4 separate regions of the Mus musculus genome follow, and regions 1, 2 and 3 are each reported to be linked to region 4. The links are microRNA targets in miRTarBase. Many come from high-throughput screens and were not tested one by one. Region 4 holds a microRNA gene; each other region holds the end of a gene's coding sequence.
Evidence for each region. Region 4 holds the annotated microRNA mmu-miR-3090-3p (UCCCAGGUGACACCCUGACUCA, at 3,426-3,447, shown strand). A microRNA usually pairs through its seed, bases 2 to 8, with sites in the 3' UTR of a target mRNA and lowers its output. Matches are read on the target gene's strand: a 7mer-m8 pairs with bases 2 to 8, a 7mer-A1 pairs with bases 2 to 7 and ends in A, and an 8mer does both.

Region 1 (8,258 bases), not on the chromosome of region 4:
AGAGTTCAAGTCCTAGTGTATTTTCATCGTTTTACAACAGGAAGTCATAACACATCGAGGCTCTTGAGTTTGTACTCAGCCATGCCAAAACCCAGTTTGAAGCACTCCTCAGACATGCTGTATTACTTCTCGCTCAAGATTTAAAATATAAAGGTATCTAAATCGTTGTCTTATTGTAAATGTAACTCCTTTTCCTTCAAGTGTTGACTAAGTTGTTTCCTCTCTTAAAGACACTCACTGTACAGCCAAACACAGCTGTCTTACTTCTTGAGAACTGTGTTTACTTTTCTGACAAGCTGTGTATTTGTATGTAGACTGACATATGATGTGAATGACCTTGTATGTAGAAGTGCGGTGCTCTGTCTACGCAGGATAAATGAATGTTTCTAGTTCGCTGACTTAAGACACAGGCTGTTTACAAATCGCTAGCTCGAAGGTCTACTTGTCGCGGCTTTGAGTTACTCTCCATTTCTGCAGAGGTGAGGTGCAGTCTCCTGCTCATCAACTGGAGATTTAGTCATAATGCCTCCTGAGTTTGTGTGAATAGCTTGCTCACTTTGCTGGCCTTTGATATGTATGTTCTCTGTGGTAAACTGTCCATGTGTTTGTATTAAGTGCTTATCAACCACAACCATCACGTAGCCATCCCAGTTCTTCACCTTGCACAGTATTTGAAGTATTAGACGTGGTGGAAGATGTGCTTCATCCTCTGACAGTGGACGCTCGAAGAGCTCATGTTCCAGATTGTGACTGTGCGCATTTCCTCTAGTTTCTTTCTGAAATCTCTCTATAAATGAGTACAATTAATAGTATACTGGACTGTGTATCTACAGGATGTAAATTGCAGTATTCCAAAGGCTGAAGCTCTGCTGTTTTGTTATAATGCCTGATAAACATCTTGAATAAAGTCTTAACATTTTTCTTTTAAAAAAATAGTGTAATGTTGGGCTAATGAGAAAAGAAATACTTTTTAAAAAAGATTTATTGCCAGGCAGTGGTGGCACATGCCTTTAATCCCAGCACTTGGGAGGCAGAGGCAGGCAGATCTCTGAGTTCAAGGTCAGCTCACAGAGTGAGCTCTAGGACAGCCAGGGCTACACAGAGAAACCCTATCTAGAAAAAAAAATTATTATTTTGGTAGTTTTTAAACAATTAAATAATTATTGACCTAGATCAGTAAGTCATTCCTCAATGGTCCTAAGGAGGACTACCAGGAGATGAAAAGATATATGAGATAGGAAAGCTGTGTCTTATTCCAGACAAGTTTGTCAAGAAGTACAGCATCTTTTTTTTAATTTTGTTTTGTTTTGTTTTGAAGACAGGGTTTCTCTGTAGAGTTCTGGCTATCCTGGAACTTGCTTTGTAGACCAGGCTGGCCTCGAACTCAGAGATCCCTCTGCCTCTGCTTCCTGAATGCTGGAATTAAAGGCGTGCACAACCCTACCCAATGAAGTACAACTTCTTATATATAGTTTAAGGAGGAGGAAGAGTCAGCAGAAAGCCCATACAGTGACATCAAGTCATCAGGAAGCTGATCAAGCAATGTTGTACAAGGGTAACACAGGGTATCTCAAGTGCATCACAGACACAGCACACATCAGTTTTGAGACTGATAACTTGTCTTTTTAAGGGAAAAAGCAAAGTTCCCAGGAACCAAATCCTTAACTCCTTCGAGGCCTTGACCCTAGCTCTAGACCAGACCAAGTCTGCCCTTGGCAAGGACAGAGAACTAGGTTCCTTTTGTCTTTTCATCAGGGCCTCTGAGAAAGCCTTGGATTGGCCTGGCTCTCAGTAAATTATGTGGATGTGTGTGCCTGTATGCATGAGTGCAGGTATCACTCATGCTTACAGAAGAGGGCATCAGATTCACTGAAGCAGGAATTACAGGTGGTTATAAACCACCAGATGTGGGTTCCTCTTAGCACTCTTAACCATGGAACCATCTCAGCAATCCCAAAATACTTTTTTAAAATGTGGGTAGGACTGGTAAGAAAGCTTAAGACAAAGTACTTGCTAACAAGCCTGATGACTTAAGTTTAAACCCTTGGACTCCCATGGCCAAAGGAAAGAAGACATTCTTGCAAACTGTCTTCTCATCTCCATGTGCACACTGTGGCACACATCTCCCCCCACCCCGACCCCCAAATTAAATAAATAAAATGTAATATATATAATGTAGAAGGAGTCTAGGGATAGAGCTCAGTTAGCTGAGCGCTTCACTAATATGCATACTGCTCTGGGTTCAACCCCTAGTTCCTTATAAACCAGATATGGTGGAACACAATCTGCAATGCTAGCATTCAGGGGGATTAGAACCTCAAGGGAACTTCAGCTATATAGAGAACAAGGCAGGCCTGGAACATATGAGACTCCATCTCAAAAATACAAAACCAAAGTAAAAATTCTAAGTATAAATGAGTTAAAGATTTTAAACGTGGGAGGTAACAAGGATTAGAAACCAAATGCTTATACTCTCTGGCCTGGAAACTTGGCCCATGTCTACTACATAGGATGGCCCGGAAGAAAAACATCACTGATACATGTCTCACAGACTCAGCTGACGAGACAAATATTAACCTCAAAGTCTCACTATTTTACTGTTTTAGAGGTCAGTGGAAACTGGGAGCCTGTGAAGATATGAGCAGTTCACTGGTGGGCAGTTTTATTTGTATGGGCAGAACTGGGTAGCAGTTTTCTTCCTGAGTTTTTCTTCACTTGCAGATGGGGGATTGCCTATGCAGGTTAGAACAGGCTTGTGTATGTGCAGAGCCACTGTGGATGGTAAAAATGCCCATAGCACTTCTGCATCCCTTGCCTTGAAACTATGAGCACCAGGCACCAGGGCCATCGCTATCATAGTGTCATAGAGAATGCACAAGGTACTGGGTTCTGTCTCCAGCACTGCATAAACAGGATGTGATATAACATGACTTTCATCCATCCATCCCAGCATCCAGAGGTAGGGACAAGAGGATCAGAAATTCAAGGTCATCCTCAGTTACACATCAATTTGAGGCCAGCTGGGGCTAATTGAGACTCTATCTCAAAAACCAACCAACCAACAGTAAGGCAGCAGGCTCACTCTAGCCTCACTGGGAGGTCACAAAGACCTTCAAGTGTGGTCGGTTCTCTTGTTTTTACAGTACACAGACTAGAAACTAAAGCAGCAGATTCAGAGGGCAGAAAACAGGAAGAAGAGATGGGAAGAAAGACTAGAAATCCATTCATTCATTACTCATTTACTAAGCCAGGGTTATGCACCAACAGAGTTGACAGGTAGAGAGCAAAGTCACACAACTCAGACTTGAACGGGTAGAGTATTTACTACTAGTGTCAGATCACAGTCATTTGTTGATCAAGATATGAGTATCCTATGTTGTTAGAAAATCAAAGGAAGTACACAAGATTCCAAAGAGTTAGACAGGGGATCTGGGATGCATTAGCTATATTTTAGAGTAATTTATTTCAGCTTCTATAAGCTTTAGTGCCTTCAATTTATATCAGGGATAAATGATAGCTCGTGTATAAGATTGTATAAGGTTGGCATGAGGTGCAGCAGAGTTTTGCAGATTTGCTTAAATATGACAAGTGTTCAATAAATTACATGTAAATAAACAGTTATGCATACACTTGAACATCATTTAGGCAGGCTCTAAAGCAAACTGCTTTGTTGTCAAACTAAAAACTTGGCTTTGATGAAAGGCTCCCCTACCCACATACAAAAGCTGTATGTATGAAGAAGTTCCCTTTCCATCCGAGGTGTGCCTGCAGCCCTTCTACTTCAGCCTGTGGCCGCTGTCCTCTGCCTAGCCTGTCCTTGGCTACAGGGGAAGCCAAGGCACTGAGGCCATGTAACAGAGATCTGAACCATCCATGTCGACTCTAGAAAAGTCTAAGGCTGTGCAGTGTCTCCCTCCTTAGCTTCAGCACAGTGCCACAGATGTGCGGGAAGCAGGAACTGTGCAGGCGAGGAACCTCGAAAGCCTCACAGCACTCAGCTTCTGCCGCCTCAGGGGTGAGCACAGCACGAGCCACCGGGGCAGAGCCATTGGTGTATGAGGTGCTCAAGTCACACGCCTGCTCTCTATCACCTGCCCCCACACATACACACATACACACATATGGGGTTTTACGACATTCTACATCCCTCTCCATTTAATGAAGAACTGGCTTCAAATGGATAAATTAAAAAAAAATTAAAAAAAAAACAAACCTAAGCTGGGCAGTGGTGGCACACGCCTTTAATCCCAGCACTCGGGAGGCAGAGGCAGGCGGATTTCTGAGTTCGAAGCCAGCCTGGTCTACAAAGTGAGTTCCAGGACAGCCAGGGCTACACAGAGAAACCCTGTCTCGAAAAACAAAACAAAACAAAACAAAGCAAAACAAAACAAAACAAAACAAAAACTGAATGGTCCTCAAAGTCCTGGCCTACCTGCCATCAAAACACCAACTGATTGCCTTATTCTACTAAATGGGGGACTTCATGTTATCATCAATGGATTTCAAACAGTCATTCATCCTTAATAGAATTTTCAATGAGGCAGGCTGCTTTGTTTGGAAATGCTTCCAGATGGTTCTGATGGGAGAGCAGAGAGTCACTCTCTCGGCCTGCAGCATCAATTCTGACTCTCTGTAAACCACGTGTAACTTTTGCATCTTTCTCCATCTGACTACTAACAGGCCCGACCTGACCCTACTTAGCTTCTGAGATCAGACAAAGTCATGTGCATTCAGGATGGAATGGCCAGACTCTTTTCTAAAATGAATGATACTAGCTGGGCGTGGTGGCCCACGCCTTTAATCCCAGCACTCAGGAGGCAGAGGCAGGCTGATTTCTGAGTTCGAGGCCAGCCTGGTCTACAAAGAGTTCCAGGACAGCCAGAGAAACCCTGTCTTGAAAAAACAAACAAACAAACAAACAAAAAGATAAAATGAATGATACTGTTGCCTTCTGAGCACAGCTGACATCAGTCTCATTAAATGACAGGCAACTTTCTCCCTTAGTTTCCACCCTGCGTTTTAGAGAATTCTGGAAAAAAAAAGCTGATCTTTACCAATGAAAATAAGAAATCTTAAGTGGATAAACTTTTTAAAAATTCAGTGCCTTTGAAAAATTGGGCAGAGGCCTGGAGAGACAGTTCAGCATTTAAGAACTGGCTGTTCTTGTAGAGGGCCCAGGTTCAATTCCCAGCACCAACATGGTGGCTCACAACCATCTGTAATTCCAATGCCAGTAGACCCAACAACTTTCCTCTGGCCTTCAAGGGCACATACACACATGCAGACAAAATACTCATATGTAAAAAATAAAAAGTAAAGTAGAAAAGAAAAACTGGGCAAAAGAGTTTATTATATAGCTATGTATTTCAAGAAGGGTATTTGGGAAGGTGATTTATTTTTATGAAAAGTATCCTGTTACAATAAAATTAGTAATAACTGTCATAAATACAAAGAACCCAGGACACAAGATGAAAGTGCCCTGCTACTCTATGTACCTCTAAGGAAAACAGCTCACACCTACCTTTTTACTCCATATGAACCTACTGATACAACTAAGAGAGCCTGGGTGGAGTCCTAGCCACAAACAGATAAGCTCTACATTGCATGATGGCATTGATTCAGACTTACGAGGAAAAGGCAGGATGGCCCAATGAGAGTTCCCTGGCAATTAAGAGAGAAGAGATGACAAGAGTTGAGGGTTGTAATGTTAAAGGGAACCCAAAGGTTCAGGCTGAAGGGAGTCTGAGAGATAGAAACTTTACATAAACAAAAGCCAAGACTAAAGAGAGTGATGGTGAGTAGACACACACACACACACACACACCACACACTCTCACAGTAGAACCAAGGCATAAAGTCCCACCATCTCTTGCTTCATCCAATTCCTGCCCTCCCCAAAGCTGGGGCAGAGAGTTACAGGTAGGAGACAGTGAGGAGGTTCCTGAGTTCCTAGGTATTTATTTTTTAAACACAGCATGTGTCATATTGGGAATAGGCATGTAAGATGTCTGTTTAGCATGTGCAAAAACCTGGATACCATCTCAATTCCACACAAAGGCCCACTGTTGAGCGTCTTTTCGTGTTTTTCCTCATCCAAGATTCCAGAAATAAGGAAAGCCATTACCAGTTTTTTGAAATAATGCACAATAAATTTAACTTTTAGTTCTATGACCAACTCTGGGAATGTTTAATGCACAATGGTGGTAATCTAAGCTTGCCGATCAGCTGGTACAGTTTACAGTTTAACGCATACTCACTTTGCAAGGGCATTATGTACACAAAGACCCACATTCCATAGCTGGGAACTATGATAGCTCTGAACTATACTCGTAGGTTTGTTCGATCGTGGTACATCTGGTAAGGATCGCCAGCGTACCAGTTGCGCCTCTTCCAGAAAGATGTCGTCATTTTATCCAGGAGTTTACTCTGGGTCTTGCTGCAGAACACAAATTCCCTCAAGCGCTTCTTTCTTGCAGTTGACTTTTTCCATAATTTTTTCTTATAGCCAGCCTATGAGATAATGTTCCAAAGACATTTTAAAACTTGCAAAGGCAGCAGCAGATGCTCCATAATTTATGGTATATAGGCCCAAAGAGCAAAGCCAGACCTACAGAGATTGGGTTGTTTCTCTTTGCAATAAGTAACAGGTTAAAAAGCATGTGTAGAAGAGGATTAATAATTTAACACTTTAGAAAGATTATTTAAATTAAAATCACAAGCTAGACATAGGGTACATATGTGTAATTCAAGCACTCAGGAGATTGAGGCAAGAGAACTGAAAGTTGAGAGCCAGGCTCTGCAGATGAAAGCACGCACCACTCTTCAGAGGACCTGAATTCAATTCCAGCACCAATACAGGTGGCTTACAACTATCCATAATTCTAGCTCCCCAGGACCCAATGCCTCTGGCCTCCGTGGGCACCCCACTCACAGGCACAGGCCCACACATACAAATAACTGCAAATAAAATAAATCTCAGGCAGACTGATCTCTGTTTAGTTCAGGGTCATCCTGGTCTACATAGGAAATTCCAGGCTAGCCTGGACATAGTAAGATTTGTCTCAAAACAAATCTTTCTTTTAAAAATTAGAAATAAATGAATGAACACAGACTGCAGAGCAAGAGTCTATCTGGAAAAAAAACGAAACCAAAAATGGGCTGTGGGGATGGCCCAGTGGGCAAAGTGCTTGTAATGCAACCAGGAGGACCTGAGTTTGCAACCCAGAACCTATGTAAAAGCTGGACATGGTCGTGGACTTCTGTAACTCCACCACTTGTGAGGAGAAAGGCAAATGGATCCCAGAGCTTACTGGTCAGGCTGACTAGAAAAATTGGTGAGCCCCAGATTCAGTGAGAAAACCTCTCAGAAACTTAAGGGCCTGAGAGATGGCTCAGGGCACATAACGCTCTTCCAGAGGACCAGCACCCATGTTGGACAGCTCACAACTGCCTGCACCTCTACCTTCAGGAGGACCTGATGCCTCTGATGTCAGCAGCAGCTCTAATCGTATCTGTGGGACTGAGCATAGATAATGAGGCTCTTGTTAAGAACAAGCCAACAGCTTACAAGCCAAAGCTCTTCACTGACATTTCTCAATGCCGGCTATGAGCTCAGTTCTAATACATACACACTTTATCTACAGATTTCTCTAAGATAGGGGAAACCCTCTCAGCCCTTCCCACAGTGACTGCACCTGCCACTTTGAACAGTGCTTTACTCTATTCACACTCACACCCTTTCTCTGCACAAGGACACAGCAGGACACAGAAGAGCTACCGTAAGATGAGTGCACACCATGGCTAGGCTCACGCAGCACAAAGACTCACCTTTCTCCTTAGCCAAAGGCCAGAATGAAGTCGGAGGAAGCGATGCACGACCGACTTTACCGTCTTTCTCTTGCCTTTCCGTGTGCTGCAGTATGTTAGAGCTCTGACTGGTGGCTTCAGGACACTGGGAACCAATGTGGCCACTCTAAAATACAGTTTTAAAAAAGTAGTGAACAGACTGATCGAAGGGCAAGGAACTGACTTTCATCACACCACATAATGTCAAGAAGATTGGCAACCTTCCTACTTCAAGCCTTCTAAAATCTGCCCCCCACAGGGAGAGGTAGAACCTGTGTTTAGCACATACAAGACTTTAGGGTCAATTCCCTAACACCCAAAATAAAGCCCACCCACTTGACCATTAAGAGAGAATGTGTCCACCGTATTTTAATCACACAGTTTCTTATCTATCTGCCTACCTAGAGGACTTC
Region 2 (8,168 bases), not on the chromosome of region 4:
AACTGACAGGTTGCTTCTCACTTTCCTAGACTTCGACAAGAAAAATTATACCAATGTAAATGTAAGAATCTAATGATCTTTAGAAGCACAGGAAGTGTACATCTAAGCAGGAAATGAAAGCTAAATCATTGTAAATTCTTTGAGTTATTTTCCTGTGACCTAAACATTTTGTCCCAAGGCAAGCAAGATAGTCATCGTGGGTAAAGACACTCACCACCAAGTTTGATGAATGGTTCCCAGTCCCTGGACCCCACAAGGTAGGAGGAGAAACCAGTTCCTGCCGGTTGTCCTCTGTGCCATGGCGTGCATGGGCGTGCATGGGCGTGTAAAAGTGAAAAGAAGTGCTGCTACAGATTTGGTCTGTGTTGTTGTGTGGTGTGCTTGTAGTCAAAGTAACTCAAGATGCAAAATCGTCTTGGATTCCATTGGTTTTGTTAGGGTACAAGTTGTCATCTTAGAGAAATGTCACACAGCCAGAAGGAAGGATCAGCAAAGATGACAGGTTCTTTGTGAGACAAGCCGGTGTTTAACTCAGAAGTTATTGTGTTCTCTTGATACCTGCTCCATCATCTCTTCTTCCATGGAAGATTACTTCTCGCCCATTTTTCTCTTTTGCAAAGTCTTCTCCCATTTTTGCCTTTTATTCCTGTTTGATCCAGTTGGGTAATAAATTGCAGGACCAGAAAATCATCCACAGTCAGGTTTGGGGCGAATCTACTGCAGGTTGTTTTTTTGTTTTATATAAATTTAAGAGTATATTTTTCAGAGTTGGAGAGATGGCTCACTGGTTAAAAGCCCTGAGGGCCCAGGTTCAATTCCCAGCACCCACATGGCAGCTCACAACTCTCTGTAACTCCAGTTCTGGGAATCCTACACCATCACAGAGACATACATGCAAGCAAAACACCAATGTACATAAAAAAAAATAATAATAAATAATTCATTTTTAAAAATGTTTTCCAAATTACTGAAGTAATATCCGGATTGATATGTTCTTTGCCCAAATCAAGTCATGTTGTAGATATTCCAGAAATGTTATAGCCATTCAATAAGACCAGAATCTGTATAATCACTGATAAACACTGAAAAGAGAACTGTTATACTATATATGCAATCTAATTGACCGCAATTTCAGAAAGTGACACATATATCCTCTCAGTTCTATAATTACACTCCTAGTTTACAAAGTCTTTCAACTGAGTGTCTGTCCATGCATGCACACATACATGTACACTGAACTTACAAAAAGCCTTATAATGACTTACGTTGACATTCACTATCTTACTGGTAACTATTTACTCTTTTGAAAAAAATCACTATGAAATTTAAAGTTGATTTGAAAATATTTTCATATAGAAAACTAATAATGTAACTAAGAATGCTATTTGAATAACATAACAGATGACACAGTTTTCCTAAACCCTAAAAGTAACAAGATATATTAGAAAAAAAGGGAAAATCAATGAGATTCTATTCCTAGAATTGTGATTATTTCCACTCAGCATTTGTAAATATAATGAAGATATACAAAAGCTGTTTCATATCCTTCAGGGATATGTTTGCCTTTCTACTTTATCCCTGCCTTTAATCATCAGAACTTTGTGAACACAGGTGAACTTTCATTTTAAAATGTTTGAACTTCTGTACCTTGTATAAGTTAGCAGAATCTGGATTAAAAAAAAAAAGAAACTAAATTAATTTCATTTCTGCTGGTTTCACTTTACTGTATATTTGTATTATTAAAAGTAGGGTTAATATTGTTGACTATGCGTAACTGCTAAATTATATCAGTGAAATCATTACATTGAAACTGTATCCAAATGATTTCTCAGGCTTTGTTTGAAGTGTAAACTCCAGCCCCATTATGACCAAATTAGACTTAAAGATAGTGAATGAATACTAATGAAGAAAGCTGCTCTTGTTGCACTGTTCTAAATAATAGAATATATATTTGGTATGGTTGGTGAAATAGCTTTTGTTATTATTTAAGTTACAATTTCTTATTGCAAATTTAATAATGAATTCTCCAAAGGAATGGGATGAATGGAGTTATATTTGAAAGAATTGGAAGAAAAGTATTACAATCTGCTTCTAAACTATTTGTTTTATTACAATGACATTTATTTCTATAATTGGCCAATTGATGGATCTTTCAGGTATCCAGAATTATGTCTGCGTAAAATAAATTATAGTTATATTAAGAGCCTTAAAGTGGGGAAAAAGGACTCTTTTGACTGCCTTAACATATGACAAGCTCTCTTTTCCAGACATACTAATTTCTTTAGGGTCTGTTAAATAAGTAATGCCTTAAGAGTGTGCTAATGATCTGAAGAGTAGAGCTTACAGGGTCTTCTAGAGCTTTTAATTCTACATAATGAATTTAAGTGTTAGGTATTATACCTGATTGCACATTAATAATTTGAAATAAGAAAAGAATAATCTGGCTATGCTGATGTGTAATAAGTACATGGCTGCAACATCAGTATATTTTATGGTTGCTTAAGATTTTGTATTGTTTTGTATAACCAGTTACCCAGAAGCTGGACTTCCTGGCCATAATATGACCTCCAAGGACCATGTTGCATATTTAACACTGGATGAAAAGTTCAGTTGTATAGCTCCAAAAAGAACTGCTTTTTAAGGGAAATTTTTGAGGCAAAAGGCAAATGTTTTGGTTCAAACCTATGAGCAAAGTCATTTAGAGAATTGAAGATAGTATTAAAACCTTGAGACTCTTGCAATAAAAATATCAGACCAGTGACTTGTTTCATTGCATTCTCATTTTGCATTTGCTTTGCCGTTCAAAGCAGAAAAATCTTACAAAACCGAAAGAATGCTTTAAAATTGTCACGCTGGTGCTTAAAGATCTATTATGCTTGATGTATAACTAACTTGTTTCCAAGAACGGAGCCTGGGGAAGGCTTATAGGCCTTTCCTAGTACTTGTGATTATTGATTGTCAAGTCTTCCAAGTTTGCAATGTAAATAATGTGTAACAATGTGACATTGGTGTTTTCTAATGAGGAGTGGATGAATGCTTCAGTTATTACTTCTACTTCATGATAAAAGTTTTCACCAATACTGAGAAATCTTGATTTTTGTAACCTTGCAAAATAACCTATTACATACAAGTTGATTGTCTCTTACCTGAAATGCTTGGAGCCTCAAGTATTTTAAGATTCTTTTTTCCAATTTTGGAATCATCTGCAGATGTATAATGGAATACCTGGGATTTGCTGTATGAGCCTTGTATGTGTCATGTGACAGAAAATCATGTTTTAATGGACTTGCTTTGGCTGTGACTTTGCAATTGGTCTATGGAACTTTCCACGGGCATTATGTTAACACTCTCAAGTTTCCAGTTCTGGAGCTTTCTAAAATTTTATATTTCCAAATTGGGGATGCTTAACTTGTAAGTCATTCCAGATGTGGAGTGGGCACTACACAAACTGTTTGTCACCAGTTTATTGTAGAAATCGATAGGTGTACCAAATAAATTGTATGCATATCAAATAACTGTCTTTTAATCATTTTTTAATCATTTTTTAAAACATGAATTTTAAGGTTATAATATGCCTTATATGTAAACCCCTGAAGCAGTCGGTTACAACTCAAAAGATAAAAAAAAAATCTTTCCATAATTAATATTATCTTTTTGATGTCTCTGTGTGTGTGTGTCTGTGTGTGTGTGTGTGTGTATGTGTGGTATATGTAGTTGAGGACTCTTTTCCAGTTGAGTACCATCACAGGATGAAGAAAATTGATTTTAATCAAAATACAAATGTTTTTATCTTTGGTGTTGTGTTTGAGTATATGTGGGAGGCGGGGGAATGCATGTTACAACACAAGCTGTTGGTTCTTTCCTTCCACCGTTATGTGGGGTCCAGGCATCGGATACAGGTCTTTAGGCTTGGCACAAATGCATTAACCTTCTGAAACTGGGTTTTGCTTTAACATATGCTAAGTACCATAACCCCCAAAACTAAAAAATAAATATTGTATCCTTTAAGCTAAGCGATAGCACAGTGTGTAAAGGACAGTGGTTGTACAAGCCTATTAACTGAAGCTCCATCACCAAAATGAACCCATACTAAGGTGGAGAAAACTGACTCCACAAAGCAATTCTGGCCTTCATATGCATGCATGCCTCATGCAGTCCTCCTTCCAGCACTAACACAAGTTGTATCTTGTGCGTGTGTGTTCCTGAGTTTTATCTAGCATTTCTTTGTTATTTGTGCACACATACATATGGACAGGGCCTATGAGAGTGAGCCCTCACATGGACAAGTCAAGAAGGACTTTCAGGAATCATTGCTCTCCACTGCGGGTCCCAGAGACTGAGCTTAGATCATGGGCTTGCTTGGCAAGCACTTCTACCCATACAGCTATCTAGACTCCATTATTGTAAATGTTCGCAGAGGCTAAGTCTTCTGTTACAGTCTTGGGTCTTTTTGCAAAGACATGTCAACCACTACAAAGACTAAGTGAGGTCAGCGCCCTTCACTTTCAACTCTTCCTGTCAGTGAGTAGTCCTGGTTTGCAAATTCATTCCTTTTGATGCAGTGCTAGGTTCCAAGAAGTAATCTTTTTGTTTAAGTCACTGAGAATAAAATTCAGCACACAATTAAGCAATCATTGGAAGAGTTTATTTCTTTTTTTTTTTTTTTTTTTGAGACAGGGTTTCTCTGTGTAGCCCTGGCTGTCCTGGAACTCACTCTGTAGACCAGGCTGGCCTCAAACTCAGAAATCCGCCCGCCTCTGCCTCACAAGTGCTGGGATTAAAGGCGTGCGCCACCATGCCCGGCTTTAAGAGTTTATTTCTTATATAAACTTATAATTGAAAATTAACATACCCTGTTACCTTCTATATTCTTGAGCCTTCTGACGATAAGGATTTTTTAAGAGCTGGGTTATTTTAACATCTGACCCTAACCAAGAATTATGTACCACACATCCTCTTGTTTCCCACAAGCCTAGGAAGAACTGATAAAACATTCTTAAGAATTAGTTGTATAGCTAAGTGGTATATTAGCCCAGTGGATATTAGCCCAGAAGCTCAGAATACCCAAGATACAATTCACAAAACACATGAAACTCAAGAAGAAGGAACACCAAAGTGTGGATACTTTGATCCTTCTTAGAAGGGAAAACAAAATACCCATGGAAGGAGTTACAGAGATAAAGCATGGAGCAGAAACTGAACAAATGACCATCCAGAGACTGCCCCACCTGGAGATCCATCCCATTAACAATCACCAAACCCGACACTATTGCAGATGCCAACAAGAGCATGCTGACAGGAGCCTGATATAGCTGTCTCCTGACAGGCTCTGCCAGTGCCTGACAAATACAGAAGTGGATGCTCATAGCCATCCATTGGACAGAGCACAGGGTCCCCAATGAAGTAGCTAGAGAAAGGACCCAAGGAGCTGAAGGAGTTTGCAAGCCCCATAGAAGGAACAAAAATATGAACAAACCAGTACCCCCAGAGCTCCCAGGGACTAAACCACCAACCAAAAAAAACACATGGTGGGACTCATGGCTCGAGCTTCGTATGTAGCAGAGGATGGCCTAGTTGGTCATCAATGGGAGGAGAGGCCCTTGGTCCTGTGAAGGTTCTATGCCCCGGTATAGGGGAATGCCAGGGCCAGGAATGGGAGTGGGTGAGTTGGGGGGAATGGGAGGGGATACGGAATTTTCAGAGGGGAAACTAGGAAAGGGGATAACATTTGAAATGTAAATAAAGAAAATATCTAATTAAAAAAGTCTAATGTAAAAAAAAAAAAAAAGAAAAAGTTTTATAAGTCAGTGGCACCTGCACACCTGCCTGCTATTCAAGCCCTGGGTCTGAGGCTGAATACCACAAAAAAAGCTCCTCAAAGCCAAGGCCATATTATTACGTGGTTGGTGTAGCTGTGCATTTAAGTAACCTGCCTTTGACCTTACATCCTAATAAGATTACTAGTGACAACAGAAACAGTGACACCTTTCCCATACATAATGTGAGTTTTAGAGCATAGTAAAATTATATAATTTCTCATGATATAGTGTAAAATAAAGGAATAAAAATACACCATGTTCCTTTCCTACCAACATGACAGCTTAAATCAGGAGAGCTGTCTTAACTTCTATGTCAAGTTATCCAAAATGCAGTTGAAGTCCACGTAGGAAACATCTCTGACAGCAAGCCACTGTCTCCCTCCAAACTCTGCATGAGTCCCTAGTCTATCTTGACCAGAAAGCTGAAGCACTCACTCTGGGAAGTCCATGTTCTTCCTACCTGAGAAAGGCTCAGCATTTGATAACATTTCCAACGTGACTCTGAGAATCTGCTAGGAAATGCATCATTTCTTAAGCACTTAAAATATTCTTGACCAGAGGCGGAAACCATGACCAGACTAGCAAAGCATTGGAAATGTTTTCAGTTCTTTTAAATATTACTTCTTAAAGGTTAATTCTGTTTGCTAAGTTTATCTGAAATGAAGTCAATTTGAACAGTGTCTTCCTAGTTAGAGAATAGTAAGATAACAGAAGTGATTTTAGGGACGCTCCATCTGTGGGACTCAGACAGACTACCTGAGACTGAGTACTTTATGAAGAAGAGATGGACTTTCTCTAGGTCATCGGTCGGGAAGGTGAGGTTATCTAGTGAGGATTTCCTTGCTGTATCAGGACACTGCAGAGGAAGAAGAGGAAGAGCAAAGACGGGAGAGGTAAGGGGACAAACTCATCCTTTTATCAAGAACCACTCTAATAGAGCACGGACCCATCTGCCCTCAGGATTAAGTACTTTGTAAAGGCCTCACCTCGCGTACCATATCAGGTTATGTCATGTGTTTCCAACACATGATGTCTGTGGTGGGGCACGTTCGGACTATAACAAGGACCGTTAGTCTAAACTCTAATTCCTGTTTCTCTTAAGCATTCTCAAGCTGGGTGTGGTAGCTCAGCATATAATCCAAGCCTGGAAACAGGTAGGAGGACTGACTTTTGCGTTTGTGGCCATTCTGAGCTACAGAGTGACCCTGTCTCCAAAAGGAAAAAAAAAAAAAATTCCAGTAGCTGATACACATTCTGAAAGGTAGAATGTCCAACTGGCAACAGAACTAAATAACATTTCTGAACTGTTTGAAAAGCCCACTCTCACTCTATTGAAACCTTTTGCTTTCTGACCATGAAGTCATTAGCAGCTTGATGCCCCAACTAGAAACTTCATCGAATTCTACATATTTAGTATGTTTGGTGGTCTAGAACATAAAGGGTTGTCATGATATGGTATCCCAACCCACTGCACATCTGTACCACATTAAATTTTAAGGAAGCCACATGTCAGTCCTCAGCCCTGACAGCTAGTGAACGTGAGAAGTTAATTCCTGAATGCCATGGGGAGCAAGAGTTTAAGTGCGTACTCCCTCTTTGCTGTAAGATTCTTAAATTCTTAATAAACATTCTTTACTTTTGATGTAACTCCACCTCCTTTAGTTTTTTTATACCATCTCATGCTCAAAAACTGGCCAATCGGGAGATGAAGGGTCCAGGGCAATTTATTGTTCATTATTCTGAATCATCTTTATGAAGGCAATCCACACACTGAAAACAGCCTCAAGTCAAAGGTACGACTGCACTAACTAGCATTTACTGGTATGGCGACTATCCACATCATTCAATGTCTTTCCTCTTGTTTTTTTTTTAAATAACACTGATGAACCAGAGGCAGCAATTTCCCTTCTTTGTGAAGCCTGTGAGTGTCCGCTGCGCCTCCAATAAATCGTCCATTGACAAATATCCTGGGAACCTGTTGAAGAAGGAAAAGATAAATAAGGCCTAACCATCGGTGTCAGAACTGGTCCAGTTTTGGAGGGAAGTGAGGAAAAGTAACTTGCCGAATATAGCAACAGGAAAAGAGGTAGGAGACAAATCTAACGCAATCTAATTCTAAAGCCCCTGCAGGCTCCTACAGACCACACGAATTTTAAAAAACAAAATAAGGTGAGCCCGACCAGCCTCCAGGAGGTTCCTCGGGGTCTGCCTGCCCTTCAGAGGCCTGAGTCAGAAAGGATCAACTTTTCCTTCTCTCTGCCTCTTTCTTTGGGATGCTCCTCAGAACCTAAGTACATTTTTTCTGATCCTTTGAGCTTCCCTACTTTCTCTAAAGCCTCCTTCCCCGCC
Region 3 (8,258 bases), not on the chromosome of region 4:
TGTGATCCTGTGTGAAAAAATCATGGTGGTTCATACCTTGAATCTTAGCATCCAGGAAGCAGAGACAGGAGTTTGAGGCCAGTCTGGTCTACAGAGTGAGTTTCAGGACAGCCAGAACTACACAGTGAGACCTTGTCTCAATAAATAAATTAATTAATTAAAAAGAGCAAAGTTGACAGAGAATCTCAAAAGTTAGAACCAGGGTCAGGCTATGGGGCCCAGGCTGGCTCAGAAGTCAGCATCCTCCTGCCTCATTCCCCTGAAGTGTTAGACTCCCAGTGAATGCTATACCAACACACACTCCCTTGGTTTTTTTCTTTGTATGATAGGTGAGTATAATTTTACATTCAAAACATATCGCTGTCACATGAAAGGGCCAGGATGGACATGCCGGTAGCTTCACTGGCACGGGGTCTCCTGAGAGCCCCTGACCAAGCCCCTCTCCCCACAGCACTGGTTGCCCTCCTTGTCCTTGGGGCCGTCCTGCTGTGGAGGAACTGGCGGCTGAAGAACATCAACAGCATAAACTTTGACAACCCAGTCTACCAGAAGACCACAGAGGACGAGCTCCACATTTGCCGAAGCCAGGATGGCTATACCTACCCCTCAGTGAGTGTGCCCTTTGTGGGAGAGATGAGACATCAAATGAGGTGAAGGACAGAAGTTAGGTGGAGTGGAAGGAGAGGAAGCCCAAACCAGGGGCATGCACAGCTCAGTGGTAGAACCTGCCTAGGCCCCCAGTGAGGGCTTAGGGTGTGCCTCACAGTAGCAGGAACATGCTAGAGCCAGCTGTATGTGGACCGGGGAGGAGGTCTCCTCTGAGTGGGGGTTGGGAATAGAGGAATCAGTTCATTGCAAAGACCTCAAATTGTGATAAGATTGGGCACAGTGTACTTAAGAAGCATAAGGGAAGACTGGAGAGATGGCTCTGTGGTTAAGAGTACTGGCTGTTCTTCCAGAGGACCTGGGTTCAATTCCCATCTCCCACATGGTGGCTCACAATTATCTATAACTCCAGTTCCAGAGGATCTGATACCTTCTGGCCTTCACAGGCATCAGGCACATGTGTAACTTTAATGCAGAGAACACACACACACACACATACACACACATCCCCTCCCAAGGGTGGGGGGAGAGAGAGAGAGGGAGGGAGGGAGGGAGGGAGGGAGGGAAGGAAAGAGAGAGAGAGAGAAAGAGAGAGAGAGGTTTTCTAAAAAATCAGAAAGAAACACGGGATATATCTGTGGTAAGATCCGAGCCTGGAAGTGAGAGGAGAGCATTGTGAGCCTTAGTTGACCCAGTCTTAGGTGTTCTGGCCACCTCTGGTGACTGCGCAGGGACAGAAGGTGAGGGACACGAGCAGGAGAGAGAGGTGGATTCCTGCCATGCTTGTGTATAGTCCTGTTAGTCTGATTGTTTCCTGTGTTTCCGCTTTGCTGACAGAGACAGATGGTCAGCCTGGAGGACGATGTGGCATGAGCAGCCGGGAGAGCCGTCTCTTTCCGGGATCCATTGCCAAGCTTAGGCAGAAAAGACACTCTCTCCAGACCTCCCCATCCAGCACTGGTCCTGCCACCTCCCTGGGCTCTGTGTTGCTCAAAGCAAGATAAGAGCAAAGCTGGGCTGGGGGCCAAGCTCAGCTGCCTGTCTGCCCCAGGTTCTGTTTTATATATTTATTGTCTGGGGACAGAAAAGGCTACTGGCTGTGCTTGAAATTCGAATTCTGCCTGGGAATTTTTTTTTTTCTCCCATCTTCATTTCCTTGGAAGCCAAATAGGCTGTCCCAGAAGCTTCTGAATTCTACTCTTTTCAACACTAACACGGAGGAGGAAGAGACCCACCCAGGCAGAGAGAAGCCTGCTGGACATGAGACAGCAGGTACTACTGACCGGGTCCTGGGTACCATAGCCAGTCCCTAACCTCAGGACTTCCTGCATTGACCTTCATCCCAGAGCCTTCCTGCCTGACTCTGCCGCCCCCATCAGAAGCCAGGAAAGTGACTCGTGACATTCGGTACTGATCTTGCTGGATCTTGAGGCCGGCAGCTGCCAGTGATGGATACCCGCTCATGCCTTTGCCAAAACGTCACCCGTTCCTGGAGGGACAAGCCCAAGTCGCCATTCTCCCTTAATATTTATCAAGTGCCTGAGACAACTGGTTGCCTTGCTCAGGAGTCCTGGCCTGCTCAGTGTCCTGCTGCTCAGGGGTGGCCGGCAGGACCCCTGTCCTGTGCCCAGCCCCCGAGTCTCCGAGTGAGGCTTGCACTTCTCTCTGCGCACTTTTCCCGTTCTGTGCTGGGCACCCACGTGGTCCACATTTGTACTCCTAGGTTGCACTGACCCTGGTGCATTGGATGGGACCTCAGGCCGGAAGTGGCCCCGAATCATTGACCACAGAAGATAATTGCCAGGCTCCAAGCATCCATTGCCTTCTTCAGTACTGGGGGGAACTCAGGGCCTCTGTCTGGTGTTTAGTTAGTCTGTTTGTTTGTTTGTTTGTTTGTTTGTTTGGTGGTTTCTGGCTCTGCACAGCAGAGTTGTTTAGCTCCTCTGGTAACGTCATCCTCTCTCACAGAGACATCCAGCCTGCTGAAGGGGAGAGATGGGGCGAGGGGAGGGATACACGCATGGTTTCTCAGGTGTGGTGGCACTTGGCTTTAATCCTATGCTCAAGAGGAAGAGGTGGGCACATGTCTGAGGTCCAAGCCTACATAGTGAGACCTTATATATCTAAAAACCAAAAGAAATCCCAGACTATTTGGTGGGACTTGGAAGAATACTTAGAAATTGCCACAGATTTGTCACATGGGTAACCTAAGAAGACAGTGGTGGCCTTACTTGGATTCCTGGGTAGATCCACCTGTCCACTACTCAAGACACAAGGGCACACTGCCCAGCCCACTGGGACACTTGTAAAGAGCTCTGTAATGTGCCGATGGCACCTGGCTCGGTTTTCATTCTGTATATTCAAGGATATCACACATATGTATTAAATCTATTTATTTTTGCAAACCCTGATTGCTGCACCTCTCTGCAATTTCTCCAGGTTAGGCTGGGGTGATACTCTGGGATGCTCTGTATACAAAGATGATTTGAATGGGCTGATCTCAGGCCTGTCCTGTGCGTTGCTTTGAGTGGGTGGGAACTGCTTTGAAACCCTTGTTCAGATGTTTTTATAGGCTGAAAATATCATACTGTGATGGATTAAATTCTTTTTTGGAAACTTTGTCATCCTTATGTGTGTGAGGTGTGGGGTGCAGAGGAGGCATCGGGAGGCTTGGAGGATAGCTTTGTGAAGCCACTTCTCTGTATTCACCCAGGCTTAGGAACAGGCTTGTGTGTGTGTGGGGGGGAGGGGGTCACGCACCTCTCTCCGTGTGGGTGTCCTGAAACTCCAAATTGTTCCTTTGAGGCAAAGTTCTTCCCTGAACCTGGGGCCCCCTCAGCTATGTCTAATGCCAACAAGGCCCAGCCTGGCTCTGCTCTGCTCAGAGTCAGGGGTTACAAGGTTCAGAGAACTCCCATCTTGCTAAGCTGGTGCTCGAGTGTGCGCCGTGCCCCTGGTGACAAAGTGAGCGTCCTTAGCTGCTGAGTCCACCATTTCGCTAGCTGTGCCTTCTGTTTGAGTTGCGTGGTTTTGGTAGTTTGGAGCCAGGATCTCACAATGTAGCCTGTGTTGGGTTGCAGGGCCAGGAAGAGTAGCTGAAGTGCCTATTTTAAATACCAAAGCAGACCTGGCCTACAAGTTCTCCCAGTATCCTGCAGTCCCTACCTGTTGCTGGGCACATAGGTAGGTACACCCCACAGTCTACCCTGAACTTTCCAGCCCCTGCAGCCCAGGGGCGGGGCTTCCTCTCCCCAAGGCTCTATTAGGTAATCTAGACATTTTGGTTCTGTCTCCTCTGCTTGTATACTTTCTTCCTCTGTCCCAGCCGCTGCCTTTCTGTCTGCACAGCGACTTCCCTGACCCCCTCCTGGGACATCAGTGAGCCTGCCATAGAATAACATCCAACCAACCTCATTATAAACTTGAAAACCCAGACTAAACTCACCTGCCTCAGCCTTCCCAGTGTTAGTGTTGAGCTGTGTCTCTCACCGGCCGTCTTTTTTAGGACAGAGGCATTATTCTCTCTGTCTCACACATCCACGAGGGGTATTTTTTAAGACAGAGGCATTATTCTCTGTCTCACACATCCACGAGGGATGATGAAGGTGAGCACACTAACCAAAGAGCAAGTCTTTTTTTTTTTTTTAAGATTTATTTATTTATTTATTTATTTATTTATGGTTTTTCGAGACAGGGTTTTACAACCATCAGGAATGAGATTTGACACCCTGTTCTGGTGTGTCTGAAGACAACTACAATGTACTTCCATATAATAAATAAATCTTAGCCAGGTGTGGTGGCTCACGCCTTTAATCCCAGTACTTGGGAGGCAGAGGTAGGCGGATTTCTGAGTTCGAGGCCAGCCTGGTCTACAGAGTGAGTTCCAGGACAGCCAGGGCTACATAGAGAAAACCCTGTCTCGAACTCCCTCCCCTCCCCCTGAAGGGAAAAAAGAAAAGAAAAATTCAGGGAAAGAGTCTTGGGGAAACAGAACAGGAATGGAGATACACTAGACAAACAACCTGGCTCCGACCCTGGCTCTGCTGTAGTTTTCTGTGTGACCCTGTGCACTTCAGAGCCTCGTTAGCCCAGTAATTCCACCTTCTGCCAGACTGGTGGGACCTCTACCCAGGCCTGCCATCTCCTCTGAATCCACGGGGTGGCACATCCGTCCTTCCTTCTGCCCTTTGTTTGGGGCAAGAGCCAAACTGCCTCAGAGAGAAAGTGGAGAAGCAAGTGGCCTGGAAAGCCCGTGGCTTCACAGGCCTTCAAGGACTGCCTCCCTGAGTCATGGTGCTGGCATGTGTGGCTAACAGCATGGTGGAGCTTCCACGTCCTGGGAGTTAACAGACTGGAGAGCAGGTGTGGGGCTCCCACGGGACATCATGCATGGAAGGTGATGGACTGACTTTCTTCTTCTCAAGACAAGGGTTTCTCTGTGTGGTTCTGGCTGTTGTAGAACTCCCTCTGTAGACCAGGCTGGCCACGAACTGGAGATCTGCCTGCCTCTGCCTCCAGGGTGTGGGATTAAAGTGGAGTGCCACCACCCATTGGTGAGCATTTCTGATCCTGGGCTTCAGCTTTTATTTTCAAGGCCCTGCAAAGCCAAGTGTCCTCACCCGTACCTGTCACCCTACCCCTGGGGAGGTGGAGGCAGGAAGATCAGGAGTTCAAGGTCATCCTCCCCTACATAGTGAGTTTCAGACCAACCTGGGGCCCATGACTCTGTCTTAAAAACACTTTACTTACCAACAGGCACTGAAGGGCTGGTGTTTAACTCACTGTGCAGTGCCTACCTAGCGAGGGGAATGGGAGGTACTTGGGTCAGGGTCCCCTTTTCTGCTCTCCCGTCTTCTTTGCCTGCAGTTCTCTGGGCTCAGAATAGCAATCAGTGAAAGACCTGGATGTGTACCCGTGTGTGCAGTACCTATCTGACCCAGGGTGGGCAAGTGATGGTGGTCTTGCCTGCCTCGTCTCTGTGGATTCAGTTCTGCCCAGGACAAGAATGGCAGGCAGCAGCTGATTTCTGACACACGAACTGCTGTTCCCCGCTGACCACCAGCCCCCCAGGCTGTGGTCCCTTCCAACTCACAGTGTCTGAGCCCACAGCTGTGTGTGGTGAGCCAGCTTGGAGCCCCAGCGGGAATGGCACGGGGGAGACAGTGGGAAGGGTGCTCTGCTAGGCAGCCAGCATTCCCCAGCGCCCGCTGCGGCTCCAGCTCCCACTGTGGTTTTCTGAGATTAAGTTCTCAGGAATATCACTCCTACTCAGCCTGCCTGGGGAAAGTCTCCCTAGATTTCCTGTGTCTTGTCTGACACCCCTACTCGAATCTGCTTCCTGCCCTAGAGGAGCTCTGTCCTTCCCTTGTCCCGCCCTTTGGCCAGGCCTTGTAGGGAGTGTGTGGGAGAAGCTTGGAGCTTAATTAGATCAGTCTCTTACTCAGCAGAGCCACTGGCTGTCTGGAAAATCTTCCCCCTATACTGTGGACTGCAGGCCCAGATTGATCAAGATGCTTTCTGCGGTTGCCTGGTGGCAGTCCTTAGCTTGCTCCCAGCTTAGCATTATTCTGTGTCACCATCTCTACCCTCCCAGCCTCCCCCCCCCCCCCCAGCATTTTATCCCCTGTCACTTCCTTATTGCCAGGTGTGCTGACCTCCTTCCTAGCAGGAGATTGAGAGTCCCCCCACCCCCACCCCCACCCCGGAGCTCAAACACCTACCAGGTGTGAAACCTGAGACAAATCTCCAGCCTGGGTTTAGTTTCCATTTCCAGATGATGCGCGCAGCCAGGCATACTTCCATAGCTCCAGCCACTTACAAGTATGGCTGCCACAGAACCATTCAGCCAGCAGGAGCCTGAATGTGCTTGTGGCTCAAAGGGTAGGTAAGGGCGCTTGTCTTCCAAGCCTGGTGATCGAGTTTGATCTGGTCGTAATCCTTGTAAAGGTGAGAGAACTGATCCCTTACCTCTCACAAGCATGCCTGCACCCCGGGGCCTGCACTTACCTCCCTACATACTGTGACTCTCCATACAGACACACAGTAAAAAGGACCTATTAGGAGGTCCCGAGATCCAGGTGAGAGTGGCCCCAACAACAGAGGTCACAGGTAGAGTCCAAGTGTGGTCATGCCCATAACAGACAACCGATCCTGTCCCCCACACCAGCCCAGCTTTTTTTTTTTTTTTAAAGATTTACTTATTTTACTTATATGAGTACACTGTAGCTGTCTTCAGCCACACCAGAAGAGGGCATCAGATCCCATGACAGATGGTTGTGAGCCACCATGTGGTTGTTGCGATTTGAACTCAGGACCTCTGGAAGAGCAGTCAGTGCTCTTAACCACTGAGCCATCTCTCCAGCCTCCAGCCCAGCCCTTGTGTCATGAGGAGACAGCCTTCAAATCTGGCTGCCTGGCTCCTCCTGCTCATTTCCTAGGTCTATGCATCTTTCCTGCTTAAGGAAACAGCTCTTAACTGCAGCTAACCCCAACAGAAAGAGGGAGAGACTGGAGAAAGGGGCTGGCCACCTGCTGGGTGCTCTTACCACTGTCCTAAAAAACCACCTAGTCCTGGTGACACTTCAGAGGAAGACACTATGTGCCTTAGGGATTGGTGGCAGTAGAACACAGGTGAATGGGTCAACCCCTGGACTTCATATAATGTCTTGGGACTTAAGGGAAATGGCCAGATGGATCCGTCCCTCAGTTTACCTCATCTGTAAATTAGATTCAGGACTGCTCCTCCTTCTGGCTGGTTCTCTTAGAAGGAGCAAGTCAGGCTGTGGGTAGGAATTTGGGCAGGAGGCTGTGGCCTGGCCCCAAGATGTCCCAGGCAGCCAGCCAGTGCTGGGCAGTGACTCAGAGCCTAGGCATGCAGAGCTGGGGGCTCTCCAGGGTGCTGGGCCACAGTCCTCACTCACTGGACCTTGGAGTCAGCCCCCAGTGCTCCTCCAGGGAAGGGAGTGAGGCTCCCCTGCCACCAGAGGGTCAGGAGTTTGAGCAGCTGGGCACTTGCCCTTCTTGTGCAAAGCCTCGTTGTTGGTTCCTGCTGCTCTGCTGGGTTTTTTGGTAAGATTTATGTATTTTATGAGTGGTTCGCTTACATGTGTCTGCACACTGTGTGTGCCTGGCACATGATGAAGTCAGAAGGCTCCAATCTCCTGAACTACAGCTAAAGACATTTAACTCTGTGGATGGTGGGAATCGAACCCAGATCCCTTGGAAGAGCAGAAGGTGCTATTTAGGTGAAGACAAATACGGGCCCTTGGATCCTGTGAGGCCTCAGGCCATCAGACTTGATGGCAAGAACCTTACCCATGAGCCATCTCCCTAGCCCTCCAGCTTGGCTATGTTGGCAGCCTTGAACTCCATGGCTACGTTCTCCACCAGGCACCAGGTCTGCAGGTCAGCATGTACAACCGTGAGTTCTCTATCCTGCACCGTCTCACACTGGTATGAAAACACAAGTCCACAGCAGTGACTCCGCAGGCAATGTGGACTAATGCTAGTCCTGCAGACGTTAGCTGTATTATGTGACCTTCCCAAGGGACACTCAGCCATGGCTCAGACACTTCCTGTTGTCAGGACACTACTGGAATCCAGTGAGGTCGGGGATGGTGTCCCCAAAAGCTAAGACATCATACAGCTGTCAC
Region 4 (8,258 bases):
GGAAAAGGACATCCGCTCCACAAACGAGAAAAGCGTCAAGCCAAACACAAACAGCGGAAGCGCCTCAAGTCCAGCTGCAAGAGACACCCTTTGTATGTGGACTTCAGTGATGTGGGGTGGAATGACTGGATCGTGGCACCTCCGGGCTATCATGCCTTTTACTGCCATGGGGAGTGTCCTTTTCCCCTTGCTGACCACCTGAACTCCACTAACCATGCCATAGTGCAGACTCTGGTGAACTCTGTGAATTCCAAAATCCCTAAGGCATGCTGTGTCCCCACAGAGCTCAGCGCAATCTCCATGTTGTACCTAGATGAAAATGAAAAGGTTGTGCTAAAAAATTATCAGGACATGGTTGTGGAGGGCTGCGGGTGTCGTTAGCACAGCAAGAATAAATAAATAAATATATATATTTTAGAAACAGAAAAAACCCTACTCCCCCTGCCTCCCCCCCAAAAAAACCAGCTGACACTTTAATATTTCCCAATGAAGACTTTATTTATGGAATGGAATGGAAAAAAACACAGCTATTTTGAAAATATATTTATATCTACGAAAAGAAGTTGGGAAAACAAATATTTTAATCAGAGAATTATTCCTTAAAGATTTAAAATGTATTTAGTTGTACATTTTATATGGGTTCAACTCCAGCACATGAAGTATAATGGTCAGAGTTATTTTGTATTTATTTACTATTATAACCACTTTTTAGGGAAAAAAGATAGTTAATTTGTATTTATATGTAATCAGAAGAAATATCGGGTTTGTATATAATTTTCAAAAAGAATTGTAGTTGTTTTTCAGTTGTGTGTATTTAAGATGCAAAGTCTACATGGAAGGTTGCTGAGCAAAGTGCTTGCACACTTGCTGTCTGTTTCTTGCAGCACTACTGTTAAAGTTCACAAGTTCAAGTCCAAAAAAAAAAAAAAAGGATAATCTACTTTGCTGACTTTCAAGATTATATTCTTCAATTCTCAGGAATGTTGCAGAGTGGTTGTCCAATCCGTGAGAACTTTCATTCTTATTAGGGGGAATATTTGGATAAGAACCAGACATTACTGATCTGATAGAAAAGCTCTCGCCACCCTCCCTGCAGCAAGAACAAAGCAGGACCAGTGGGAATAATTAGGAAAACTGTGACTATGTCAGGAAGTGATGATGGCATCTTGTTCTTTCTTAAGCCTATAATCCCTTCCAGGGGGCTGATCTGGCCAAAGTACTAAATAAAATATAATATTTCTTCTTTATTAACATTGTAGTCATATATGTGTACAATTGATTATCTTGTGGGCCCTCATAAAGAAGCAGAAATTGGCTTGTATTTTGTGTTTACCCTATCAGCAATCTCTCTATTCTCCAAAGCACCCAATTTTCTACATTTGCCTGACACGCAGCAAAATTGAGCATATGTTTCCTGCCTGCACCCTGTTCTCTGACCTGTCAGCTTGCTTTTCTTTCCAGGGATATGTGTTTGAACATATTTCTCCAAATGTTAAACCCATTTCAGATAATAAATATCAAAATTCTGGCATTTCATCCTATAAAACCTAACCCGTGAGAGCAAATGGTTTGTTTGTGTTTGCAGTGTCTACCTGTGTTTGCATTTTCATTTCTTGGGTGAATGATGACAAGGTTGGGGTGGGGACATGACTTAAATGGTTGGAGAATTCTAAGCAAACCCCAGTTGGACCAAAGGACTTACCAATGAGTTAGTAGTTTTCATAAGGGGGCGGGGGGAGTGAGAGAAAGCCAATGCCTAAATCAAAGCAAAGTTTGCAGAACCCAAGGTAAAGTTCCAGAGATGATATATCATACAACAGAGGCCACAGTGCCTAAAAAAATTAAAGAATGTCTGATCAGCGTCTCAGCACATCTACCAATTGGCCAGATGCTCAAACAGAGTGAAGTCAGATGAGGTTCTGGAAAGTGAGTCCTCTATGATGGCAGAGCTTTGGTGCTCAGGTTGGAAGCAAAACCTAGGGAGGGAGGGCTTTGTGGCTGTTTGCAGATTGGGGAATCCAGTGCTAGTTCCTGGCAGGGTTTCAGGTCAGTTTCCGGAGTGTGTGTCCTGTAGCCCTCCGTCATGGTTGAAGCCCAGGTCTCACCTCCTCTCCTGACCCGTGCCTTAGAACTGACTTGGAAAGCGGTGTGCTTACAGCAAGACAGACTGTTATAATTAAATTCTTCCCAAGGACCTCCGTGCAATGACCCCAAGCACACTTACCTTCGGAAACCTTAAGGTTCTGAAGATCTTGTTTTAAATGACTACCCTGGTTAGCTTTTGATGTGTTCCTTATCCCTTTAGTTGTTGCACAGGTAGAAACGATTAGACCCAACTATGGGTAGCCTTGTCCTCCTGGTCCTTCAGTCATTCTCTAATGTCTCTTGCTTGCCATGGGCACTGTAACAAACTGCAATCTTAACATCTTATAAAATGAATGAACCACATATTTACATCTCCAAGTCCTCCAGATGGGAGTGCGATCATTCCATAAGGATCCCACCTTCTGGCAGGTCTATCCAGTACATATTTTCTGCTTCATTGGTCTTGATTTTCTTGGCTAAAATTACTTGTAGCACAGCAGGCCCCATGTGACATATAGGTATATACATACATGTATGTGCATATAGTGTGTACATGTTCTAATTTATACATAGCTATGTGAAGATTATGTTACATATGTAGATGGTCGCACTTCTGATTTCCATTTAGGTTCAGAGAGAGACGTCACAGTAAATGGAGCTATGTCATTGGTATATACCCCGAGTGGTTCAGGTGTTCTCTCTATTTTTTTAAGATGGAGAACACTCATCTGTACTATCGAAAATGAGCCAAATCACTTAGCAAATTTCTAGTCACTTGCCTTGCTGTTAAGATACTGATTCACTGGGTGCTGACATGCTGAGCCCCTCCCTACTTTTTGATTGAAAGGACAAAGGAAGAGAGCTTTGCAGTAAAGAATGGTTATATTGTGGGGGCGAGGGGGGCGGCGTTATAGATCGGCATATATGTGAGGAGGTCACAACAGCCTGCACTATTCCTTTTCTGTTTTATGTCTTGCAGGGGAAGGGACAGGTAGGGTGGGGTTGAGGGGGCAGGGCACACACATCTACTTGGATAAATTGCATCTCCTCTTTCCTTCACCCCGCCACCATATCTTAAAGCCTTATGACATCCTCTAGGGCAGAATTTTCTCACCAGCTCCCCGCCCTACCAACTTCAAAGTGAACTTCTAACTAACTTGAGGGGCCAAAGTTCTAAATAAAACTTGTTAGAGTTTAGCGGGCACCTCAGTCATCAGGAATGCCTCCAGGAAAGCAAAAAAGCTTGATGTGTGTACAGCCCACGTGGTGGAGTCCTGCCACCCTATGATTCCTGTCCCAGTGGTCTGGGTGGGGCCTGAGATCCTGAATTTCTAATGAGCTCCCAGGTGACACCCTGACTCACTGTGCCAGAGGACTGCAGTTTGAGTAGCAAGGTTGTGTGGACTGTTCTTTCGATCATGGCTACAGAAGCTGGCTCAAGTACAGCCCCTTCGTGTGTAAAAGCCATGTGTAAATGAGAAGAAACAGAAGGCAAAGCTGCGTTGCATGGCATCTGAATCAGTGCCCTGCAGTTTTGTTTTTTGTTTTTTTTTTTTCAAAGACATTCTTTTTCCCAACAAGATGAGTGGCAATCTTATGTTCTAGCCACTCTTAGACATGAAAACACTGGGTTGCTTATCTTGTAAAATCTGCTCTGCTTGCTTGCTTGGGCACGCTGCAGTCAGTTTAGTCAAATGCGTGTCAGTACATCTATATGTATGAGGGAGCAGGTGCAAGTCCTTAGAAATGTACTTTAAAAAACTTGAACACTTAAGTCAGTGTGCTGAGCTGCTCCTGTGTGATGTTAGTGCCAAGCACCTGAGTTAAAGGGATCTCTTTGAAGGCAGAGGGTAGATGTCGTATGGTTGAAGCATTTGTTTATACTAAAATGATGCTTGACTTTTTTCTAAGTTATAAGACAGTACACTGTATAAGTTCATTGAACCTAGAGGGTGGCATAGGACTCCAAATCTGGTATGGGAGGTTTGTTCTAATGGAAGTTCGAATCTTTTTTGCAGTTGGCTTGGAATAAAGTGCTTATGTGAATGGGCTTAAGCTAGGGAAAAAAATGGGTTTCCCTCTGCAAAGAGGGTCAGCACAGAAATAACTTCCTGGCTTTGCTTGGCATGAATGCCACTTGTTAGCAGAATGCCCTGTGGGGATCAAGGGTAGCTTGGGCAGCACCTTACTCGGCTCTCAGAAACTCTTAGAAGCAACACAGACTTTAATATTTGTTGAAGAAATGTCAGGATGAATATATTCTTAATCTCAACCAATCTTGTTGTGTAAGACACACACACACACACACATGCACACACACACACACACACACACACGCACACACACGCACACGCACACACACACACACATGCACACACACACACACGCACACACACACACACACACACACATCCCTGTGGGTGAACAGACATGTGCACATACACACATACAAGCACACATATTTGCATACACACGTACATGCTAACAAGCACACATGTTCACATGCACGCATGCACACACATGCATGCACATCTCTGAAGGAATTTTCGTTTGCTCATGTCTAGAGTCTGAATGCTGAGGCAAGAGCATCAACCGTCCCCCACCCCACCCCCTTGGCCAATCCCTATGGATTTATCATTTTGTTTAGGTCTCTAAACTCTGAATGGAGACCCTCTGAGGTGCTACACCATACGCTGACTTTAACAGCACTTAAAAGCTTGTGTTTGCCTGTGTGCTGGGCCCCTCGCCAAGGCATTGCTGGGAGTCCATTACTGTTGCAGTCCATTCTGATGAGGAGGTCTCTCAGCAAAGCCCCGATCTGCTCACAGCTCTCCTCATAAGGAGCAGGAACTCATCTGGACCGAATTTACCCTAGAACCGCTTGGCCACAACACTATGAGAGAATAATTATTGAACTATTTTACTGTACAACTATTTCCAAATTGTTGATTTTTTATTGATTTCAGGAGGCAAGCTAATTGCCCCATGGCAACTTGATGTTAACATTTAATGAAGATCAGGAAGCAGAGTTTATGAAAAGCGTTTGTATAGCGACTGCAAAGCTTCAAGAACTGTTTTACACTTCCTGACGGGGCTGGGCCTCGCTTAATGGTTTGTTTTTATTGCTTAAGAGTGTAAACCGTGCCTTAGCCCAGTGTGTGGAAACTATACCCTCATCCCGCATTGCACATTTTCTTGTTGCTTTTTCCTCGCTTCCCATGTCATTGTACCATCTACAATCAAGACTTTCTCTTCTTTGTATGCAAGCAAGTTTCTATCTTAGACGTTGATGACACTACATGCACACACACACACACACACACACACACACACACACACGCACATGCATGCACATAGCCTGATGAACTGAATGTGCTGCTTCACTGTGTTTGGGTGGAGTTTCTGTTCAGCACTTGGTTGCTAGACAACCAAGCAGACAAAATTTAGCGATTCAAAAGGCATTTTTAAAGACGACAAATTTTGAGTGGCTGAACTCTTTTATCTCTGACTTTATGGGGAAGGTGCAGGTTTCTTTCAAAGATCTTGTCTCTTCCTGTTTTTTGCTGAGTAGATAGCTTACTGGTAGAAATTGTGTGTGTGTGTGTGTGTGTGTGTGTGTGTGTGTGTGTGTGTGTACAGCGATCATGTGTTTGCACATGTGTATTCAGGTGCACGTGCACATGTGTGCACAGCCGTGTGGAGGTCAGAGGTTAACATCCAGTGTTTCTCTCAATAGCTCTGGGCCTTGGTTTTTCAGAAAAGGCGTCTCACTGAACCTGGTTCTCATCAGTTTAGCTAGGCTGTCTGCCAGCGAGCCCCAGGGATCCTCCTGTCTCCGCCCCTTGTGTACCCCCAGCACTGGGGTCCAGACACATTACCCACCATACCCAGCTATGTTTTAATGTGGGTGCTAAAGCGCTTCATTCACTTGCTTCTTCTTGTGCAGAAAGCGATTTAGTTACTGAGCCATCTCCCTCACCCTGAAGAGTGTTTTGAAGTCTGGCTCCTTCAGGATTGTCTGAAAGCTTTCTTAACTGCTGTTCCCATTTGCTGGAACTTGCTTCCCACCTGGAAGCTAACTTGGTTTCCAAGGGCATGTTTTAAATCACTAGTAAAGTTGAGCTCCGGCTCCAAGCTCCTCCAATTGTTTCAATGTCAGGGAGTGATTCCTGTTGGAGGCAATGTTTAGAAGCACCAAGCCTGGGTGTGGAGGGCCCTGTCTCGAAGAAGCGACCCCAAGTTTTTGCCTGATAGATGGTATTGAAAATGTTTTCTAAAACCTTCGTGAAAGCCTAATTTGAAATCAAAGTCATTTTCTGATTTCTGTAACGTGCTCCAGGAGCGAGTTGTAAAATCGGGATCTTTATAGATCGGCCAAGTTGGGCTTGTGTTCACACGTTCGCTCACATGCGCACACAGTTGGCAGCTGACAGGCTCCATGCTGAGATCTTTCTTCCTCCTCTACCCTCTGACATGTCTCTGCTGCTCTGGCTCCTCTCTTTGTGGGGTTCCCTGGGCTGGAATGTAGTCAAATCCATGGAAAACTTTAACCACTTTTCTGATTCTTCATTTACAGGCAGGATTTCCTGGCACTGGGATCAAGGGGGGAGGGGAGGGGCGCGGGGGTGAAGGACTGAGGCTGGTTCATCACAAACATCTTGCAAATGAGACACGTTTGAAGCCCATCTGGCCTGGACAGAGAGATTTGACAAACTAGTCTCTGATAGAGAAACCTCACCATCCGACTTTCTCCAACGAGCTTGCAGTTCTCTAAAGCATATCAGTATGAATAAGAATCACTTTTTAAGCATGGAGGCTCCAGGATGAGCTGGGCAGCAAATCACAGTGCTTCTGAGAGGAGCAATAAATGAAAATAAAAATACCAGTCTTAGATGAACACTCCCAACATCCAGCATTCCCTATGTTCGTCAGATCCCATGTAGCTGGACAGTAGGAAATGGGAAGAACTATAGAAACTAAATAACTTTTGTGGTTTAAATATAAATATATATGCACATATACTTCAAATATATTATACATGTATTTACGTATCCATGAATTATTGCCGATTTCTGGACTGGAACCATTCTAAGTGGTATCACGTTGTAGAACTGCCTTGGCGATGCTGGTGACAACCTGTTCTTCTTGTGTAGAGAAGGTCTCAGACATTTGTTTCAAGAGTTTCCTCTTTGCTAAGGTTCAGATAAAGAATAGTTCTCTATCTAAAGAAAACTGTGACGGGACACGATAAAATTTAAGATGCAAACATGTCTGGCATGACTGAATTACAGTAATACAAAGAGTCCAAAAAAATAAATTAATTCTTAGAAGAACAATCTATGTACATAAGAAAACCCATGCACCAGATTGGGCTGTGTTTGTCATAAATTAGAGCACAGACACCAAGCATGTCAGTTGACTGGTTCTCCAGCCTTGTTGGTCTCAGGAACTCATCCACCGACTTGACTCTGTGTCCTGTTGGTATGTCCTGTAGCTTATCTTTCCCATAAAATGCTTTAGGCCTTGTCACAGCTGCTCCTACTTTTGATATTTTGTGAGTCTTAATTAGTCTTAATTACAATCTTCATGATGAATAAAAAGAGGAGGGAAAGAAAAAAAAAGAAAGATCTAAAAGTTAAGATCAGGAGATTCCTTGTGCGAGAAACAGCTGCTCCAAAGGAAAATGTATTCTTGACAAATACATAAGCTTCAGATACTACACCTTGCAGAAATATGTCATTAGTTGGCTGTCCCATTGGACCGTGAGGGAGCTCCCATACTCCCTTTTTTTCTCTTAGGAGTAGTACCGTTCATGCTCCACAGTCACTTTAAGTACATGTAGTAAGACTGAAGCCGAGATGATGGAAGGAAACTCTTTAGGCCTTTGTATCAGCCAGTGTTTGATATGCTTGCAAGTTCAGGAGGTGCTTTTTAAGAATGTGCCCTGATGACGGAGCATAAAAGGTATTGCTAGATGACCTTACAACACATGTGGGTGCATTCTAACAGCTTGGCAGATGGCATGCAAGGCATTCCCATAGTCAGAGCCATGGAGGGTCATACATCGCAAGTGTAACATTGTTACTAATCCCGGAAAATGAATGGGGGCACTCTTCAGGGCAGGGCAGGGCCTGGAGCTCAGCCGTTATTATGTAATGTTCCTAGAAAATTCA

Region 1: miRTarBase lists Mrpl35 as a target of mmu-miR-3090-3p. Seed matches in the 3' UTR shown: 7mer-m8 at 5,174-5,180.
Region 2: the mRNA of Glrx2 is a reported target of mmu-miR-3090-3p. Seed matches in the 3' UTR shown: 7mer-A1 at 5,492-5,498.
Region 3: the mRNA of Ldlr is a reported target of mmu-miR-3090-3p. Seed matches in the 3' UTR shown: 7mer-A1 at 1,727-1,733.

The regions. Positions count from the first base shown.
Region 1 is chr6:71,809,778-71,818,035 of GRCm38, forward strand. It overlaps Mrpl35 (mitochondrial ribosomal protein L35), which reads right to left. Exons shown (of 4, transcript NM_025430.3): 3 at 7,828-7,972; 4 at 3,220-6,510. The coding sequence ends at 6,322. Reep1 (receptor accessory protein 1) reads left to right here. Exons shown (of 7, transcript NM_178608.4): 7 at 1-933. Among named protein-coding and RNA genes, the nearest start is that of Mrpl35, 9.9 kb to the right of the region's middle.
Region 2 is chr1:143,746,134-143,754,301 of GRCm38, reverse strand. Glrx2 (glutaredoxin 2 (thioltransferase)) reads right to left here. Exons shown (of 4, transcript NM_001038592.1): 4 at 4,624-7,794. The coding sequence ends at 7,663. Ro60 (Ro60, Y RNA binding protein) reads left to right here. Exons shown (of 9, transcript NM_013835.2): 9 at 1-3,512. Among named protein-coding and RNA genes, the nearest start is that of Glrx2, 11 kb to the right of the region's middle.
Region 3 is chr9:21,746,698-21,754,955 of GRCm38, forward strand. Ldlr (low density lipoprotein receptor) reads left to right here. Exons shown (of 18, transcript NM_010700.3): 17 at 452-609; 18 at 1,444-3,222. The coding sequence ends at 1,479. Among named protein-coding and RNA genes, the nearest start is that of Spc24, 9.5 kb to the right of the region's middle.
Region 4 is chr2:133,561,335-133,569,592 of GRCm38, forward strand. Mir3090 (microRNA 3090) reads left to right here and starts at 3,374; the gene lies at 3,374-3,460. It overlaps Bmp2 (bone morphogenetic protein 2), which reads left to right. Exons shown (of 3, transcript NM_007553.3): 3 at 1-1,562. The coding sequence ends at 381.